Sus scrofa: one gene and its partner. The protein of the gene in region 1 interacts with the protein of each later gene in a pairwise test. Links are inferred from orthologs where the notes say so. Each region holds a gene or a part of one and is shown on either strand. Other genes may lie near its edges.

What was found.
Region 2: the proteins of SDCBP2 (region 1) and PTMS interact in a two-hybrid assay, tested with the Homo sapiens proteins (2 studies listed by BioGRID and IntAct). The two-hybrid records come from large-scale screens. The link is inferred for Sus scrofa from reciprocal best matches to the Homo sapiens genes SDCBP2 and PTMS.

Annotation. Positions count from the first base shown.
Region 1 is NC_010459.5:33,966,045-33,969,791, forward strand, and holds the start of SDCBP2 (syntenin-2), read left to right. Parts: upstream 1-1,030; 5' UTR 1,031-2,170; intron 2,171-3,747.
Region 2 is NC_010447.5:63,939,281-63,943,027, forward strand, and holds the start of PTMS (parathymosin), read right to left. Parts: upstream 2,833-3,747; 5' UTR 2,040-2,832; coding exon 1,995-2,039; intron 1-1,994.

The DNA.
Region 1 (3,747 bases):
AGCAGGATGTCACTGAAGACTCTGAGCAAGGGCGTGCCAAGAAAAAGGACTTCTGGGTGGCTGGCTGGGGAGAAGTCAGAGGTGGAGGCAGCTGTAGCACCAGGGAATGGAATGAGCCCCTGCATTTCGGTGGGGGTGAGAGGACGTGGGTTCTAGTCCCAAGTCTATGCGGACGTGCTGGGTGACCACAAGCAAGTTCCTCACCCTTCTGGTTCCTCCATCTTCTCCAAAAGCCCCTTGAGACCTCGACTGGGTGAACTGAGGTGTGTGGAGGGTGGGGTGTCACTTGGTTCAGTCTCTATTTTCTACTTTGCCCTTGAGAACCCCACCTAAGGAGGGTCCACACCCATGGTTCCCCGGCGCTTCGGGCCCAGATGGCTCAGCCTCGGGTGTGTCCTTGCCTCAGCTTTAGGTGCCTTTTTCTCACAGACGGAAAACAGGACCTTGGAGCCATGTGCAGCTGTGTGACTTCAGAGAAGGGACCTTGCCTCTTGCCTACTTGCGGGATGGCGGGAGCCACCAAGCCTGTGACTGTACAGCACCGCGCTCTGCAGGCAGGGAGGGCTCCTTGGCTGGTAACTGCCTTTCCTGCTCTTGTTCCCCCTCCGACTCCCTCCCATGTGTGGCTCTCGGCTGGAAGCCTCTGAGTCCGGCAGGGCCTCCTCTCTGGGGCTGAACATGCGCCCAAGGCCGGTGCGTCTCTGCCCAGGCTCGTCACGGGGACTGTGACATGGGCCACCCGGCCTGCTGAGCAGCCCCAACACTCACCCCGCCCTGGGCGGCTGCCCTGCGTCATTCCTCAGGGGACTGCCCAGCACCAGGGCCAGTCCCTCCCCAGGCACCTCTGTACAACCCAACCCACAGGGACTGCAACTACATTCCTCCCCCTTTTCTGTTTGATTGATTTTGGGGGATAGTTAAATACATTAAATTTTTTCAAAATTTAAAAGGCACCCCAAAGTATGTTATGAAAAAAAGCCCCTCCCACCACAGCATTCAGCCCCTTACTTCTTCCCGGAGACAACCCATCTAAATTCCTCCTAAAAACAATTAATCTTTTTTTTTTCTTTTTTCTTTTTGTCTTTTTGCCTTTTTCTCGGGCCGCACCTGAGGCATAGGGAGGTTCCCAGGCTAGGGATCGAATCAGAGCTGTAGCTGCCCGCCTACACCACAGCCACAGCAACTCGGGATCCAAGCTGCGTTTGCGACCCACACCACAGCTCATGGCAACGCTGGATCCTTAACCCACTGAGCAAGGCCAGGGATCGAACCTGAAACCTCATGGTTCCTAGTCGGATTTGTTAACCACTGAGCCACGACGGGAACTCCTAAAAACAATTAACCTTAATTTGGCGGCCCCTCCTTACAAAAATCATGAACGTTCAAAGTAAAGATTAACAAAACCAAACCCCACCACCCTGAAACAGACACAAAAGTACAAACTAACAACCCCCACCCCACCCCACCATCTGGATTTCCAGCCTTTTCAGTTTTGTCCTCCCAGACAGTTTGCAGTATCTATTCACTTTTGGAAAAATGAAAACAAAAGACAAGCTGATTATCACAATATTGACTTTTCCATATCTTGCCGGAACACTTCCTCCTGGTTCCTTCCTTATCAACAACGCTGATAGCTTTATGACCTTCCACAGAGGCTGCCTTATTTAACCAGACCCTGGCAATGGACATTTGGGGATTTCTAGATTTCCCTGTTATAAGAAACACAGTGATGGGCCCCCGAGACCTCACTGGCTACTTGTTTTATTTTCTTGTGACAAATTCCTAGAAAAGGAAATGGTAGGTCACAAGGTACGGCCACTTTTCAAGACCCATCAATCTGTCCTGATGTTCAGCAGGACTACGTGTCTGAGCCAAGTTCGGTTACCTCGAGCCAGGAAGTCTTGGTTCACACCCCTCTCAAGAGGAGCTGTGTGAGCTTCCATCCCCACCTCCACATCCAGACTAAGGCCACAGCCCTCCTCTGGACCTGGTGACCTAAGGCAGGTTGCCCCAGCCACCACGCCGCACCTGGGCCCATCCCAGTCCTGGATGAGTCAGCTGACCGGGGAGCAGGAACCCAGCTGGAACAAGGGCCACCGCCTTCCAGGGAGAGGAACAGACTCCGTTGGCAGTGGTTGGAGGAGGACAAGCAGCAGCACCTGGGCTGCAGGTAAGAGCCGGGTGCGGGGCCCCTAGAGCTCCGGAAGGGATCGGCGTGACCTGCTCTCTCCTGGCTTCTTCCCTCCTGGTCCCAACCCTTTGGGGACTTTCAGGCCTTTTCCTCTCAGGGTGCTTCTCTCTGGCAGTGAAACATGAACTGGGGTTTCCTCTTCTGACCCCAGCCCCGGGCCAGGTGTGACGGTTGGGTGATCTTCACCCAGACATGGCTAGGACTCTCCAGGCTCCTTCAGTCTGCCCGGGACTGCGCTCGCGGCTGGGACCCACACTTTGCTCCTTGAAATGGGCCCTTGGCAGGGCAAAGAGCACTTTCCACAAGGAGCCGAGTGCAGGCCTCAGTTTCTGTTACTTCTCTGCCTGAAGCTGTTTCCATCCACAAGCTCCCTGCCACGGCCAGGAAAACCTGCTGGGGAACTGGGCCGGCGGCCTGACCCGAGAGCTGGTTTCCTCTGTGGAGACTCCCACGCAGTCGGGGGAACTGAATGAGGTAATGGATATAAGGGCCCCGTACGTGCCCTCCACACAGTGAGCCTCAGAAAATGGTGCTTAAGATGGGGCTGCTGTGTGCCGGGCAGGCCCTGCGCTGGCCCAGACTCCCACCAGCTCTCCCCGCATCACTTCTCAGCTGGGCTCCCTGCCCACTGGGCCCCTCTAATCCATCCTCCAAATGAAAGTTAGACGTCACTCTGCTGCTCAACATTCTCCAGTGCCTCCCATTTCGCTGGAGTAAATGCCAAGCCCTCAGCATGACCCACAGGCCCTGCTGGATCTAGCCCCTCTCACCACCCCTGCAGTCGCCTGTCCTATGCTTCCCCTCTCAACAACCGACTTTGGTCTCCCTGCTCAGATATTTCCTGAACACAACAGGCACTCCCACCTCAGGGCCACTGCCGTGGCTGTGCCCTCAGCCTCAACGCTTCTCCCTCCCCATTGAAACTTTCACTCAAAAGGCATCTTCCACCCCCATCTCCCCCACCCAGCAGGGAGGCTCTTCGGGACCTCCGGGCTCTGTCTACCTCCCCCACCCGCCCCCGCCCTGCTTCATCTTTCTCCCCATCACGTCCTACCACCTAACACTGCACAGGCACTTACTTATTCAGCTAGGACGTGACACTCAAGGGCAGATTTTTCTTTTGTTCCCTGCCTAATTACTGGTACCCAGAACAGTACTGGGACTTAGGCACTCAGTAAATGTACTGCATGAACAACAGCTAATGACTACTGCGTACCCTTTATGTGCCAGTGCTTCCCATATATGTCTTATCTCTTTTAAGAAGCTTTTCATCTCTACGATAACACTGCGATGCAAGTATTGTTAAGCATATTACAGATAAACGACATGCCAAAAGGACATGTCCATGCTTGCTCTGCTAAATCAGAGGCAGCAGTCTGAACCCATCCTGCTTGCCTCTGAGGTCCTTGCTCCCACTCTGCCCCTCCTGGACAAGGATTCGGGAGTGTATCTGCATCCACTGAAGAAGTCCACAGCTTTCCTCCAGCAGGCAGTACAGCCTGAGAGGAGGGGAGTACATGCTGGTGGCCTAGCAACAGCCTCTTCCTTTCCGACTC
Region 2 (3,747 bases), on another chromosome or scaffold:
AGGTGCTACAAGAGTCCCCTGTCAGGATACACCACACTGGCCCTTCCAACTGAGATTCCAGTTCTCTCTCCACCCCACCCCTTGGCAGGCACTGTGGTGTCTGTGTGACCAGATCGGGCCTGGTGTTGGTGTGCAACTCTGTGTATCTGATTCCATGTGGATGGAAGTTTTCTGGGTGAGTAGATCACCCTGGGAGGGTGTGTCCTTTCTGGAAAGGGGGGGGTTGGATAGGAAAGGGGGTTGGTGTAGGATGGTTGGCCTAGAAGGACACTCAAGTCCTTTCTCCCTTTATGGGGAGCACAGAACGCAGGCCCCCTTTCCCTTCAGCTAGGTTTCTTCACGCGACTTCGCTGTCCTCATTTCTTTTCCACATGGCCAGTCTGGCATTTCTACTCCCTGGTGGGCTTTCCCCTTCATCCTGGGCCTGGAGAGCCAAGGGGTTGTCAGCTTCTCTCTGGTGGCCCCAGTACCAGGTCTGTGCGGCCCTGGCCTGAGTTTCCCACCCAGACAGATGGAGAGGGAGGGAGAGTAAGTGCCAGGGAGGGAGGGAGACTAGCAGAGGCCAAAGTCCAAGGGGCCAGGCCCTCTCCTCCCCTGTCCAGTCCTGTCCTGTCCTTCTGGTCACTGTCCTTCCATGATCCCTTTTCCAGGAGGGTATGTGACCTGGGCCTTGTGCTAAGCAGCTCTCTGGCCTCATTTACCCAACACAGGCACACACACTGACACAGGCTGACACCGATTCACACACACCGCTACCGAGGGGCGCTGAAGCAATCCAGAGACACATGGCCGGGTGTTTGGGCGTGCTGGCACACACTCTTGAGACAGCACTAGAGCACAGTGGAGCCACTCGGCACTCACAAAGCAGCAACATGGCTCCAGAACAGCTACGTCTCCACATGCACACATGTAACTGACACGGGCAGTCCCACACACTCGCTGGATTTCAGACATACAAAGACACCTACTCAGTGAAGTCACATGCCACCGCACAGCCAGCCCACCGGAGGGCCGCTCAGCACACCTTAGCGCTCACGCGGAACCCCTCTCTCTCACTGCCTTAAACCCCACTGGTTCCCCTTTTCACTTCACGGCCTCCAGGAGACCTCTGTGGCCTCCCCAGCAACCGCCCCCACCCAAGGTCGGGCTCCCCGCCCCCAAACCCTGGCCGAATTAATTTCCCCAAGCAACACTCAGCAGGTTCCCTAGGGAAATTAGAGGAAGGCTGGAAGAAAGGCAAGGGCGAAGGGATGGGGCCAGGGAAGGAAGCTGATGAGAGCAAAGGCGGCGCGATGCAATGCCATGCAATGCTGAGCCTCAGCTTTTTCGAAGGCTATTCCCGGCCCCCTTTTGGTTTTTAGGAATTCGAGCTTCTCTAAGTGTGGGAGGGAGACGCGGAGGGCTATGGAGAGAAAAGAAAGCTGAAGGCCAGAGGAGGAAGGAACGGATGTAGATGGAAGGAGAAAACAGAGGCAGTAGCTCTCGGAGATAAGCAAGAGCCGGTCGGGCCTCGAGGGGAGGGGCCCGCGAGGAGCAGCCTCCCGGGAGAGTCCTGTTTACACTGGACGCAGGCTCTCAAACCGCTTAGCAGAGGAAAGGTGAGGTCAGACTGGAAAGGGAGACGGGGACCGGGCGCCGGAGAGGGGCGCGGGGGAGGGGGCATGGCAGATGAGACGCGCAGAGCTCCGACGGACACCGGCTGGGGTGGCGGCGAGCGAGCTAGGGCCGGAGAGGGGTGGGGACGGCACCCGGCCGGAGCGGCCAGGCCGGGAGCCGGGTGCGCGGCGCTCGGGAAGCTAGAGGGCGCTGGCGCTAGGCGCGCGGCGCGGGGTAGGCAGCGCCGGGCTGGGGCGCGGGGGGGAGGGCGCAGCGGGGTCCGCCGGGACCCCGAGCCGGGGCAGTAGTGTGGGGCCGTCTGGGGCGGCCCGGGGCGCACGACCGCGCGGAGCCCCGGGGGCGCGCGGGGGCCAGGCTAACGCCGGCCCCGCCCGTACCTTGGCGCTCAACTCGGCCGCTGCCTCCACGCTCTTCTCCGACATGGTGCCGGGGCCGGGGCCGGGGCTGGCGGGGAGCCGGGGTCCCGGGGCCGAGATGGAGAGGCCCTGGACGGCGGAAGGTGGCCGCGGCCGGAACCTGGCGCGGTGGCGGCGGCGGCGGAGACAGCGGCAGCGGCGGCCGCTGGGCAAGCTGGGGCTCTGGAAGAGGCGGCAGAGGCGCGCGGGGTGGGGCGGGGGTGGGTCTGGAGCGGAGACCCGCAGGGCTGCGGCCGTCCAGAGGGCGGGCGGAAGGGCGGTGCGGGCGGTGGCCGGCGCGCTCCGGCCGCGATCGCTAGGTCCTCGGCTCGCCGCCCCCGCACCCGCAGAGCTGCCGCCGACCAGCCGCTGCCGCCCCCGGGCAGGGAACCCGCTTATAAAGCGGCGCTGCCCGACGGGAGGGGCTTCCCAGGGGTGGGGCAGGCGGGAGCGGGGAGGAGAGGAGAGGGGAGGGGGATGAAAGCGGAGGTTGGAGAGGTGGGGATAGGAGGATGAGAGCAAGGGGAGGGAGTGCGCGAGAGGCGGGAGGGAGGACTAGACCAGGAGGGGGAAATGGAGAGACTGACGGTCGCGGAGAAAGGAGTGGGGCGAGGAGGTGGGGAGGGGTGGGGTTCCTGCGGGGAGGGACCTCTCCTAATCCCGACCTACTGCCTGCGAACGTGGAGCCCGACCCCCAAAAGCCCTGAGATTTTGCCGAGGGATGGGGTGGGGGGAAGCGGATGGAAAGGCCGGGCAGGTATTTGAGAAACCAAAAGCCTAAAGAGGAGGAAGAGGGCGGGAGCCACTTCCACTTCTCCCTGGATTTCCCCTCTCCTGCCTCTCGGTTCGCTGGGTGGCCTTGAGAGGGATTAGAGAGCAGAAAGGGCAGCCCACCCTCCGTCCTGCCCGAGGCTGACATTTGTGTCCCCTGCTGGGTTCCTCCCTTCGCGGCTCTTGCTTGTGATCTGAGGAGGGGCCGAGGCTCTCCAGCCTCCTTTCCACCTTCGACCTTTCTTATTTGCCCGGCTCACCTCACTTTTCTTTGCCTGGTCCTTCTATTTCTCTTCATTCCTCTTTATCCATTTCTATCTCCCATCTCTCTTCTTGTCACCTCTTCTCCACTTCTCACTTGCCCTCTCTGCATGCCACCTCTGATGTCTTCCCTCTCTTTCCAGACAACATAGTTCCTGGCTCACCTGAGTCTGTCACCTGGCCCTATATCCTTAGCTGATTTTCCTCAACCCTTCTTCACTCCTCTCCTTATTTCCCACATTTTCCCTTTCTTGATGTTTCTCCTTCCTCTGCTGCCTTCTTCCCAGCCTTTCTGGAGTGTATCTGTCTCCTTTGCTGGGGGTTCCAGGCCACTCTAACCCACACACCCTCGGCTCCTCACCCACAGTCTCAGTATCTTTGGGTCATTTTGAGAAGCTTGCTGTTTCAGGAGGGAACCGGAGCTAGGGTGTGTGACACAGGTCTGGAAGGTGGATGGGGCGGAAGGCTAGGGTTTGGAAAAAGATATCTTTGGTGCGTGTGCGCTCCTATATTTGTTTATCATCAGTCTTCATCTTTGTATCATTTTCATCTTAATAAAAAAGACATAACTGATGGATCATCACCATTTCGTCTCGGGGTGCCCCTACTGTCTTTTGGTCCCTTGGTGTACACACTTCCCAATTTCTCCTCTGACTCCTCTCTCAGTTTCTCAGTCTCCATCTCCTCAAAAATCTTGGCGCCC